2 linked regions of the Cricetulus griseus genome follow. The protein of the gene in region 1 binds, or shares a complex with, the protein of each later gene. Links are inferred from orthologs where the notes say so. Each region holds a gene or a part of one and is shown on either strand. Other genes may lie near its edges.

Region 1 (5,110 bases):
TTGGACACCAGGTCTGCGATCTTGGGGTCCAGGAGATAGTGGTAGCTGTAAACCACCACGTTGGCATGCAGGATCTAGGAACATGGAGGGATAAGTTTTTGCCTTGGGCCCTGCTGCCCCCGCCATACCACTCCTTCCCAGGTGTACAGACGTAACACCAAGACAGACAGCAGGTGGATGGAAAAGACAGATGGGACCACCCAGGCAAGGCATAAACAGAGGCTGGAGACAGGAAGACCTAGGTACCAGGTCAACAAAGATGCAAGCAGACAGATGGGCTAACGGAGGGGTGGGCAAAAGTGGCTCATGCCTATAACCCCCATAGCTGGGAACCTGCGTAAGGTTCTTCTAAGTTTGAGGCCAGCCTGGGTTATAAGTGAGACCCTGCCCCAGAAGAAAACAAAACAACTCTTCACCGAGTATCGAGCCAGGAAGTAGGGGCACCAGCCCTGCCGCTGCCCCAGGGCCTTCAGGTCATCCAGGTTGTAGATGCCTGCCGGGAGGGGCACCTGGCGTCCGTGGGCATCAAACTCCTGGGGAGGCAGAAGATGGCAGTGTCAGGGAGAGCTGCTGTCCAGAGTGTCTCTGCCCTCCCCGGCCCGGGCCAGAAGATGGCAGGGTCAGGGAGAGCTGCTGTCCTGAGGGTGTCTGCCCTCCCCGGCCCGGGCCAGAAGATGGAAGGGTCAGGGAGAGCTGCTGTCCTGAGGGTGTCTGCCCTCCCCGGCCCGGGCCCTTCCCTGCACCTCATAGAAGCGGCAGTGAGGCAGGCTGGCATCCTGCTGGTACTGGGCCCGCACATATGAGGCTGTGAGGCTGTGACACTTGCCGTCCACGTCCTTCCCAAAGCGCAGTGGTGTCACCTGGGGGTTCAGGGGACAAGTTACAACAGAGACAGGAGGTAGTGCGTGCCAGCTACGCCAACCTGGGTTTCCCAACTCGGGACATCACAAGTAGCAGGTCAGCTGGGGTTTCTGGGCAGCCAGAACCTTCACCTGAGCCACTATTAGTTAAAAGGACTTGCTGCAGGGATGTCAGAGTGGGACATCAGAACCGTCCCCAGAGCTGGGCACGGCAGCACAGACCTGAATCCCAGTTACCAAGACAGCTGGAGCAGGAGGAATGCACCAACTCAGGCCAGCCCGGGCAAACACCAAGGCCCTACCTCACAATAAAACGTGTGCAGGGAGATACGCAGGCAGAACACTGTTTACATAACACATAAATTAATCTTAAAAAAACAACATAGAAGTGTTTATAAGTGTTTAAAAAATAAAAATCTAAGTTTCTCCCTCTCTCTCTCTCTTTTATTTTTTGTTGTTTTTTGGAGACAGGGTTTCTCTGTGTAGTTTCAGAGCCTATTGGCATTCGATCTGTAGACCACACTCGCCTCGAACTCACAGAGATCGCCTGCCTCTGCCTCCTGAGTGCTGGGATTAAACGCCCGGCTCTAAGTTTCTCTTTTAAAAAACAAGCTAGACAAGGCTAGAGAAATGGCTCAGAGGTTAAGAGCACTGGCTGCTGTTCCAGAGGTCTTGAGTTCAGTTCTTACCAACCACAACCATCTATAATGGGATCTGATGGCCTCTTCTGGAATAAGGGTGTACATGCAAATAGAGAACTCACATTAGATAAATAAATCTTAAAAAAAAAAAAAATTCAAGCCGACAGTTAGTGTCACATGTTTTTGAACCCAGCACTCAGGAGGATCTGTTAGTTTAAGGCCAGCCTGGTCTACAGAGTGAGTTCCAGGACAGCTAGGGCTACACAGAGAAACCCTGTCTTCACTGAGTAGCCCTTGGCTCAACTGTGTTTTGGGGTTCTGGAATACCTACATACATATAATAGATATCGTCAGATAGGACAGGAGGCTGCCATGAAATTCACTTATGTTTCATGTATATAAAAATCCTAACACTTCAAATGTGCTCTACCGTTTAGACTTTGACTTATCCCATGAGGTCAAATGAGAAATTCTGAGGCGTCACCCTGGCACTCCAGCAGTTTCTGTTCTAGGAGCAGGAGCTAACCTGCGCTCTGACTGATGACCCAAGATCTAACTGAAAAGGGAGTTACACTGGTGGTCACCTCACATGGCCACGGGCTGTCTCTGGGGCTTGCACTGGGTAGCCCAAGGCTGAGGGCGAGGCCCGGGTCTCACCTCGGGATGAATGCACAGGTTCTTTCTTGAGCTCAGAGCTAGTCCCAAGAACGGCAGCTTCTCGCCCTCCTGCTGCTCATAGAAGCTGAGCAGCTTGCGAAGCTCTTCTATGACCTGCTTAGACGATGGGAGCATTGCGTGGGGACCTCAGGACCAGCATAAGCCCCTGCCCACCAGGCCAGTGAGGGCAGCAACTGGGGACCACTGAGGCCGAGGGGAGGGGACAGACCACTGGGTCCATCCTCACTGCCCACCTTCTCAATCTCTGGCACAGTCCGAGAGCAGTAGATAAGTTTGGTCACCTCCAGCGGAAAAGCCTGTGGGTGACAATCAGCTCAGCCCCATCCAGCCCCTCCCCGCCCCCCAGTCCAGACACCCATGATGGTCACTCACCCTCTGGTAGGCCACTATCAGGGCCAGCAGGGACACTGTCTTCCCGGTGCCTGAGGGCATCTCCAGGACTCCATGACCCTGAAAGTTGGGCACAGAAGAGACAAGACACGGGCTCTCAGAACCTCGGGGTCATAAACTCTGGGGACCCTAGAGGACACCATTACCTAGGAACATGACACACACAACGGTGAACTGCCATCAAGGCCCAGGGAACAAGGGGCTTCATCTCTGCTTCTTTTTTGCTGGAGTTTTTATTTTTCATCCTTAATTTTCATCCCAAGGATCGTGCTCTGTAGCCTTGGCTAGTCTAGTACTTGCTATGCACCTCTGGCTGGCTTTGTACACTTGGTGATGCTCCTGCCTCTACCTCCTGAGTACTGGGGTTGCAGGCTGAGCCCTATTTCGTTGACCTCTCTGGATCACACCTGGGTCACAGCATCCTTGCTTGACTCCTTGGCTCCACAGCCCTTACTTGGAACAAGATTGTGAGGACTGCCAGGCGTTGGTGGCGCACGCCTTTAATCCCAGCACTCAGCAGGCAGAGGCAGGAGGCTCTTTGTGAGCTTGAGGCCAGCCTGGTCTACAGAGTGAGTTCCAGGACAGCCAGGGCTGTTACACAGAGAAACCCTGTCTTGAAAAACCAAAAAAGAAAGAAAGAAAGAAAAAAAAAAGATTAAGAGTATCAATAGACTTGTGGGCCAGTGAGATGACTCAGCAGGTAAAGGTACCTGGGGCCCAGCTGATCACTGAGTTCAATCCCCGGCACCTACACCGAAGGAAGAACCAAACTGCCTCCCAGAAGTTGTCCACTGACCTCCTCATGCACACCAGAGCATGGACACCCACACTCTAAATAAATAAATACAATTTTTAAAAATTGTTTTAAAGAAAGTTTGTGTTCAGGGCTGTTGAGTCAGCTCAGCACGTAAAGGCGGTTGCCATCAAGTCTACCAGCCTGAATTTGATTCCCAGGACCCGCATAAAAGTAGGAGACAACCAAGTCCACAAAGTTGTCCTCTGTCCTCCACATCCTGAACCCCCCCCCTTCCACTACTGTGACCATACACAGGCCAAATAGACTCTGAGTATCAACACCAGTCAGCCTGTCAAAGTCTGTCTGTCACCTGGAACCTAAGGCAGGAGAACTGCTAAGATCAGTGTCAGCCTGGGCTACAGAGTGAGCCTGGGCAATTTAGTTATGTCCTGTCTCATACAGAAAGGAAACAGAGGGCTGGGATGGAGCTCCAGGTGCAGACACTCTGCCCAGCATGTTGGTCTAATTCCCAGCAACAACAACAACAACAAAAAGCAACAAAATCACCCTGAGCTGGAAACTGCTGCCCTTTCTGTGTGAACTGCCACAGTCCTCACAACCTAGGAAGGCTGCCACCAGCTCCAACTTTAAAAACTTTAATTTAGGGCCCGGCATTGGTGGCGCACACCTTTAATCCCAGCACTCGGGAGGCAGAGGCGAGTTCCAGGACAGCCTCCAAAGCAATGCAGAGAAACTCTGTCTCATAAAACAAAACAAAAAAAACCACCACCACCACCACCAAAGATTAATTTATATGTGTGTGTATGTGTGTACACTCTGTGTGTACAGGGCCTGCAGAAGCAGGGAGAGGATGCCGGACCCCCTAGAGCTGAAGTCACTGCTGGTTGTCAGTGCCAGGCATGGGCACTGGGAATCAAACTGGGATCCTCCGGAAGGGCAGCAAGTCCTCTCAACCACCGTGCCACCTCTCCAGCCCCTCCTGTTATCATCACCAACACATTCTTTCTTTCTTCCTCTTCTTCAAGACATGGACCTAAGGCAGGAGGGTTCTTAAATTCAGCGTGAGCCTGGGCAAGTTAGTGAGGTCCTGTTGAATAGTGAAAAGTAAAGAGAGGGCTCTGATGTAGCTGGAGGTGTAGGTATTTGCCCAGCACACTGGTTCAATTCTTTCTACAGAACAGGTTCTGTCTATGTAGCCCAGGCTGTCCTGAAATTCCATATGTAGACCAGGCTATAGACCAAGTTACAGGGCTCCTCCTGCCTCTGCCTCCCAAGTGCTGGAATTAAAAGCATGTTCCACCATGCATGGCCCCGAACACCCTATTGTACCAGAGAATGAATTTTGATCCTCCTGCCTGCACATTCTGAGGGCTGGGATTACAGGGGTGAATCACCAGACTTACACTGTGTCGAAGATGAAACCAGGGCCTGGTGCATGCCCCAACCAAAGTACATCTCTCTCTCTGGAGAAGCATGAACACCATTTACAGGGGTGGAAATTGTGGCAAGAGCTTAAATGACATGCCCAACAGTGCACAGCTAGAAGCCCATGTGTAGATCCTGGGTGACAGAAAAAAGTACCTATGTCCCTAAGACTCAGCCTTGATTCTATTATCAAATCCCGTGATTACTATTCTGGGGAGTGTGTGTACATGACATATGTTTGGATGACAAGGTCATAGGACATCTAACTTTGTGGAGATCCTTTTCTCCCTCCACTTCTACACGGCTCCTGGGATCCAACTCTACACTGGTGCAGCAAACACCTCACCCACTAAGTCACC
Region 2 (4,737 bases), on another chromosome or scaffold:
AAGTACTCTGTCACAGCCACTGCAAAAAAGCTCAGGCACTTGCACATTCCATATCATTTCTCCTCTGAGTCCCTCTCTCCAGAAGCCTGAGACTCAGTGTCCCCACTCTGGAAATGACTGTCTTCAGTGCTCGTTACTTTACATATGCCTTCTGTGGCATCAAAGCCACTAGACTACTGTCCACAGCAGACCATGAGCTTCCAGTAGCCTAGGACCACACATGGCCACTGTGCGTGCCCAGACCCCAGCCGATGCTTGGTCCAAGCAGAGGCACCAACACCAAACAGGGAGATGTCAACTCCTAAGAAAGACAACTCTGATAACTCTGGATGGGCTTACACCAATAAATTCAGGGCTACTAAGAAGTACGCCAAATCCAGGGTCCATGGCTTCTCCAGATCATCAGGACAGATTTTGTATTTTATTTATTTATTTATTTATTTATTTTTTAAGACAGGGTTTCTCTGTGCAGCCCTGGCTGTCCTGAAACTGGCTCTGTAGACCAAGCTGTTCTCAAACCCACAGAGATCCACCTGTCTCTGCCTACTAAGCGCTGGGCTCAAAGGTGTGTGCCACCACCTTCCAGCTTCTTTAAAAGTTTTTAATTACTTTATTTTATGTGTATGGGTGTTTTGCCTTTGAAGGACATTGAGCATCCTGGAACTGGAGGAACAGATGGTTGTTAGTCATGTGGGTGGTAGGAATCAAACCTGTGCCCTCTGCAAGAGCAGCAACTCTTAATTGCAAAGCCATCTCTCCAGCCCTGGGACAGAATTTCTAATGAAGGGTTCTGAAGACTGTACTTTCAGACCTGCTGGGTGACTTTGGAGACCAACCAGTTTGAGAGTTACACTGACTATTTATTCTGATCTCTGCTATCCTCAAAAGCCTGAATTTTCCCAAAGGCAGAAACCAAGTGTCTTTCCTGAATAACAAAATGTACCAAAACATGGCCAGCAGTAGAACATGTAAGGCCTTGGATTTAGTCCTTAACACCAAGAAAACAAAAGAAATCCATCTTTATATAAGGCCTTACAGACCATGCATGGCTGTCCTGGCCTGCCTGAGCCTGGTCTCTCCAGATGGGACAGGAGTAACTGAAAGGCATCTTTCATCAGTGCCCTATGGACGCGCAAAGTTCAAGTGTGGGCTTCAAGTGACTCTGGTGCTGCAGCTACCACCAATCAACAAGCATGTCAACCACCCAGTTAGCAAGTAGTGAGCGACATCATCCACCAGGTGGTGCTAGCAGGCCACACTGAACCCAATGGAAGCTATCCAACCATTTCAGCACTTAAGCAAAGACAGAAATCAGTCTGGCGGTCTGTGAACCATGGGCAGCAAGGGCACCACCAGAGGGCAGGGGATCCTGCAGAGTAAGGAGCACTAAAGCCTAGACTATGCTGGAGCTGTCTTCCTCACAAAGAAACATGACAGTTGGGTTGTCTTGGATTGAGGATTGTCTGGGCACTTCACACCCTATGAATGCTCCACACTGACTTATCAAATGTCAACATGAACCTATCCCTGTAGGGTCTACTGACATCTTTTACTATTTTTTTTTTTAATTATTTGTATTTGTGTGTATATGCTGGGGTATGTGCATAAAAGGAAGTGCCTATGGAGGCCAGAAGTATCAGACCCTCCTGGAGCTGAAGTGATTGATAGGCAGCTATGACTCGGTTCCTCTACAACAACAGTATGTGCTCTTAACTTCTCTCCAGCTTTTTTTGTTTTTGTTTTTCAAAATGGTTTCTCTGTAGCTTTGGAGCCTGTTCTGGAACTTACTCTGTTGGCCCCAAACTCACAGAGCTCTGCCTGCCTCTGTCTCCTGAGCACTGGGAGCACTCTGTCTCCGCTGCCCGGCTCTCTGCAGCACCCCCCCACACACACACACAGGGCTTCTCTGTGGATTTGGAGGCTGTCCTGGAACTAGCTCTTGTAGACCAGTCTGGTCTCGAACTCACAGAGATCCGCCTGCCTCTGCCTCCCAAGTGCTGGGACTAAAGGCCCACTGCCTGGCCTGTCTCAACCCATGGCCCAGGCAGGCCTTGAACCATGATCCTCCTGTTTCTGTGACCCGAGTATCTATGCCACCAGGCCTGACTAGGGTTCTTATTGTCACTTTTTTCCTGTGAGGTTATTTGGCTCCTCAGTTACTTTTCATGGCTTACTTTTTACATTACGCTACTGGCTCCCTAAGCCCAGCACAATGCCTGACACACAGGGACAGGGCATGATCAGCAGCCTGGGGCTTACTGTGGCCCAGCTGATGGAGAAGACAGCAGAGGGGCAACACTTACGCGATCTGGAGTGCCCGGGTGCCCAGTACACGGGCTCGCTCATACTTGGTCATGTAAGGAGTGGTGATGCGCTTCTGGTTGGCCTGTGGTCGTTCACCAGAGGGTAGAATCTCAACATTCTCCTGACCCTCCTGGATACCAAGAAAACAAAGACAGGAAATCTCAGGGCAAGTTTTGGGTCAGGGAGGAAGATGATGACAATGACACTCAGCACCAGTAACGATTTCTGGATGCCAAGGACTATACAGAGACTCACTAGTACCCCATTCCTTACCACCTGGTGAGGCAGGGATGATGGTCCCTATTCCAAGGGCTTCAAAAGCCAGCCAACCTGACCAAAGTCTCCAAGCTAGCAGTAAAGAGGACTGTGGTCAAGATTCTAGAGCCTAGGGGGCTGGAGAGATGGCTCAGAGGTTAAGATCACCGAATGCTCTTCCAGAGGTTCTGAGTTCAATTCCCAGCAACCACATGGTGGCTCACAACCATCTGTTATGAGATCTGGTGCCCTCTTCTGGTGTGCATATAGACATGGAAACAGAATGTTGTATACAAAATAAATAAATAAATAAAAATCTTTAAAAAAAAAAAAAAAAGATTCTAGAGCCTACTGTCCTGCCCAAATGAAGGCGGGCCCTATAAATGATGAGCACAAACACCAGATCTTTCACACAATGAAACTGAGTCAATGGGTCGAGTGACTAGAACAGTCAGGGTAAAGAGGAAGTCACACCATACTGAGCAATGACCTGCTACACATTACTCATCTGTTCAGGCTGTGACTGAGGACACATAAGGCCCTGGGTTCTGATAGTAGGGTCACGACCTAGAGAAAACAGGCACAGAGCAACAACTGCTGCCAGGAATGTGCACAGCCTATGCCCAGAGTTTACAGGATTCTGAAACCAAGAATAAAGGGCCTAAATTTAGGTCCTCAGTCTCCTTACAGTCTGGGTAGATAACAGTGTGTGCCTATAACCACAGAACTAGGAGGTAGCGACAGAAAGATTTCTGGGGCTTGCTGACCGACAGCCTAGCTGAAACAGTGAACCCAAGTTCAGAGAACGACAGGGGCTGACATCTAACAGCAACCTCTGCCCCTCCGTATGCACTACACAGCACACAGACACACATGTCCATATGCACAAAATTTCTCTTTGTTTATTTGAGACAGGGTTTCTCTGTGTAGCCTGAGCTGTCCTTGAACTCACAGAGATCTGCTTGCCCCTGCCTTCTGAGTGCTGCTGGGATTAAAGGTGTATGCCACCACTGCCCGGTACACACAAAATATATATATTTTTTTTTAAATAAAAACTGTCCAATGGTATTTTAAGTTTTTAGGATAGAGTAGTGAATAAAGAGATCAAAGCTATTTCTACCAGAACCCATGCCTTTAATTCCAGCACTCAGGCAGCAAAGGAAGGCTGATTTCTGTAAGCTAGAGGCCAGCCTGGTTTAAATACTGAGTTCCTGGGCTATACACTAAGAACAAGTCTTAAAAAACATACATAACAAGACTCAACAAGCCAGGCGGTGGCGGCACACACCTTTAATCCCAGTGCTTGGATGCCAGAGGCAGTTGGATCTCTGTGAGTTCAAGACACAAGAGCTAGTTCTAGGACAGGCTCCAAAACTATGCAGGGAAACCCTGTCTCGAAAAACAAAAACAAAAAAAAAAACAAATGAAAAGAAAAGAAAAAATAAATAAATAAGACACAACACTCTTAAGACCTAGTTGAGGTGACACTTAGGCAAAGGCGAAGTGTACCTGCAGGAGACACATCCCTGGAAAGGGAATGATGAAACCTTTGGCAAACATCACCATCTCACTGTCTAGCTTCCAGGTTGCAGTGCAGGAAGCTGAGGATGGCTACTAACCTCCTCTGCATTTTCCAAGTCATCTAGTCCTTCGTCCTCTTCCACATCATCAAAGTCATCGCCGTCGAAACTAAGCCAGAAGACACTGGTGGTTAGAATCACCTGCCAGAATCAGGGACACAGTTTGGGGTCTCTGCTGTGATGTAGGAGGGACCAGCAAATCTTGATGAGGGAATCAAACTCTGGCTTCACTTTACACCTTCAATCTTGTCCCATCTGCCCCCAAATTTTACTAGGACTTGTCATCGATGTTTCTCTCTGTGAACTACTTCAGTCAGCACATGTACTTTTCTGGTCTGGGGATTTATGTTTTAAGGTTTATTTATGTTTGTGTGTGTGAATGTACGCCTATGGAAGCCAGAAAGGAGGCATCAAGTCCCGTGGCTGGAACTGTTCAACATGGTGATGGGCACTGAACTCTCACTCCCAGGAAAAGCAGCACGTGCTGGTAATTACTAAGCCACCCCTCCAGTCACCAACATAGTTTTAGCCCTATCATGAGGGGAAAGCCGTAAATCTGTGAGTGTGATGGCACACTCCTGTACTCCTAGCATTTGGA

Evidence for each region. Proteins that work in one complex are often made in the same cells at the same time.
Region 2: Ercc2 (region 1) and Polr2f share a complex: the UniProt entries of both Homo sapiens proteins name them as parts of the TBP-based Pol II pre-initiation complex. The link is inferred for Cricetulus griseus from reciprocal best matches to the Homo sapiens genes ERCC2 and POLR2F.

Annotation. Positions count from the first base shown.
Region 1 is NC_048602.1:27,970,223-27,975,332, forward strand, and holds part of Ercc2 (general transcription and DNA repair factor IIH helicase subunit XPD), read right to left. Parts: intron 2,630-5,110; coding exon 2,552-2,629; intron 2,476-2,551; coding exon 2,413-2,475; intron 2,273-2,412; coding exon 2,159-2,272; intron 861-2,158; coding exon 744-860; intron 534-743; coding exon 417-533; intron 75-416; coding exon 1-74. UniProt on the Homo sapiens protein: ATP-dependent 5'-3' DNA helicase. Component of the general transcription and DNA repair factor IIH (TFIIH) core complex, not absolutely essential for minimal transcription in vitro.
Region 2 is NC_048595.1:376,264,361-376,269,097, reverse strand, and holds part of Polr2f (DNA-directed RNA polymerases I, II, and III subunit RPABC2), read right to left. Parts: intron 4,281-4,737; exon of another isoform or gene 4,249-4,280; coding exon 4,179-4,248; exon of another isoform or gene 4,126-4,178; coding exon of another isoform or gene 4,069-4,125; intron 2,435-4,068; coding exon 2,304-2,434; intron 1-2,303. UniProt on the Homo sapiens protein: DNA-dependent RNA polymerase catalyzes the transcription of DNA into RNA using the four ribonucleoside triphosphates as substrates.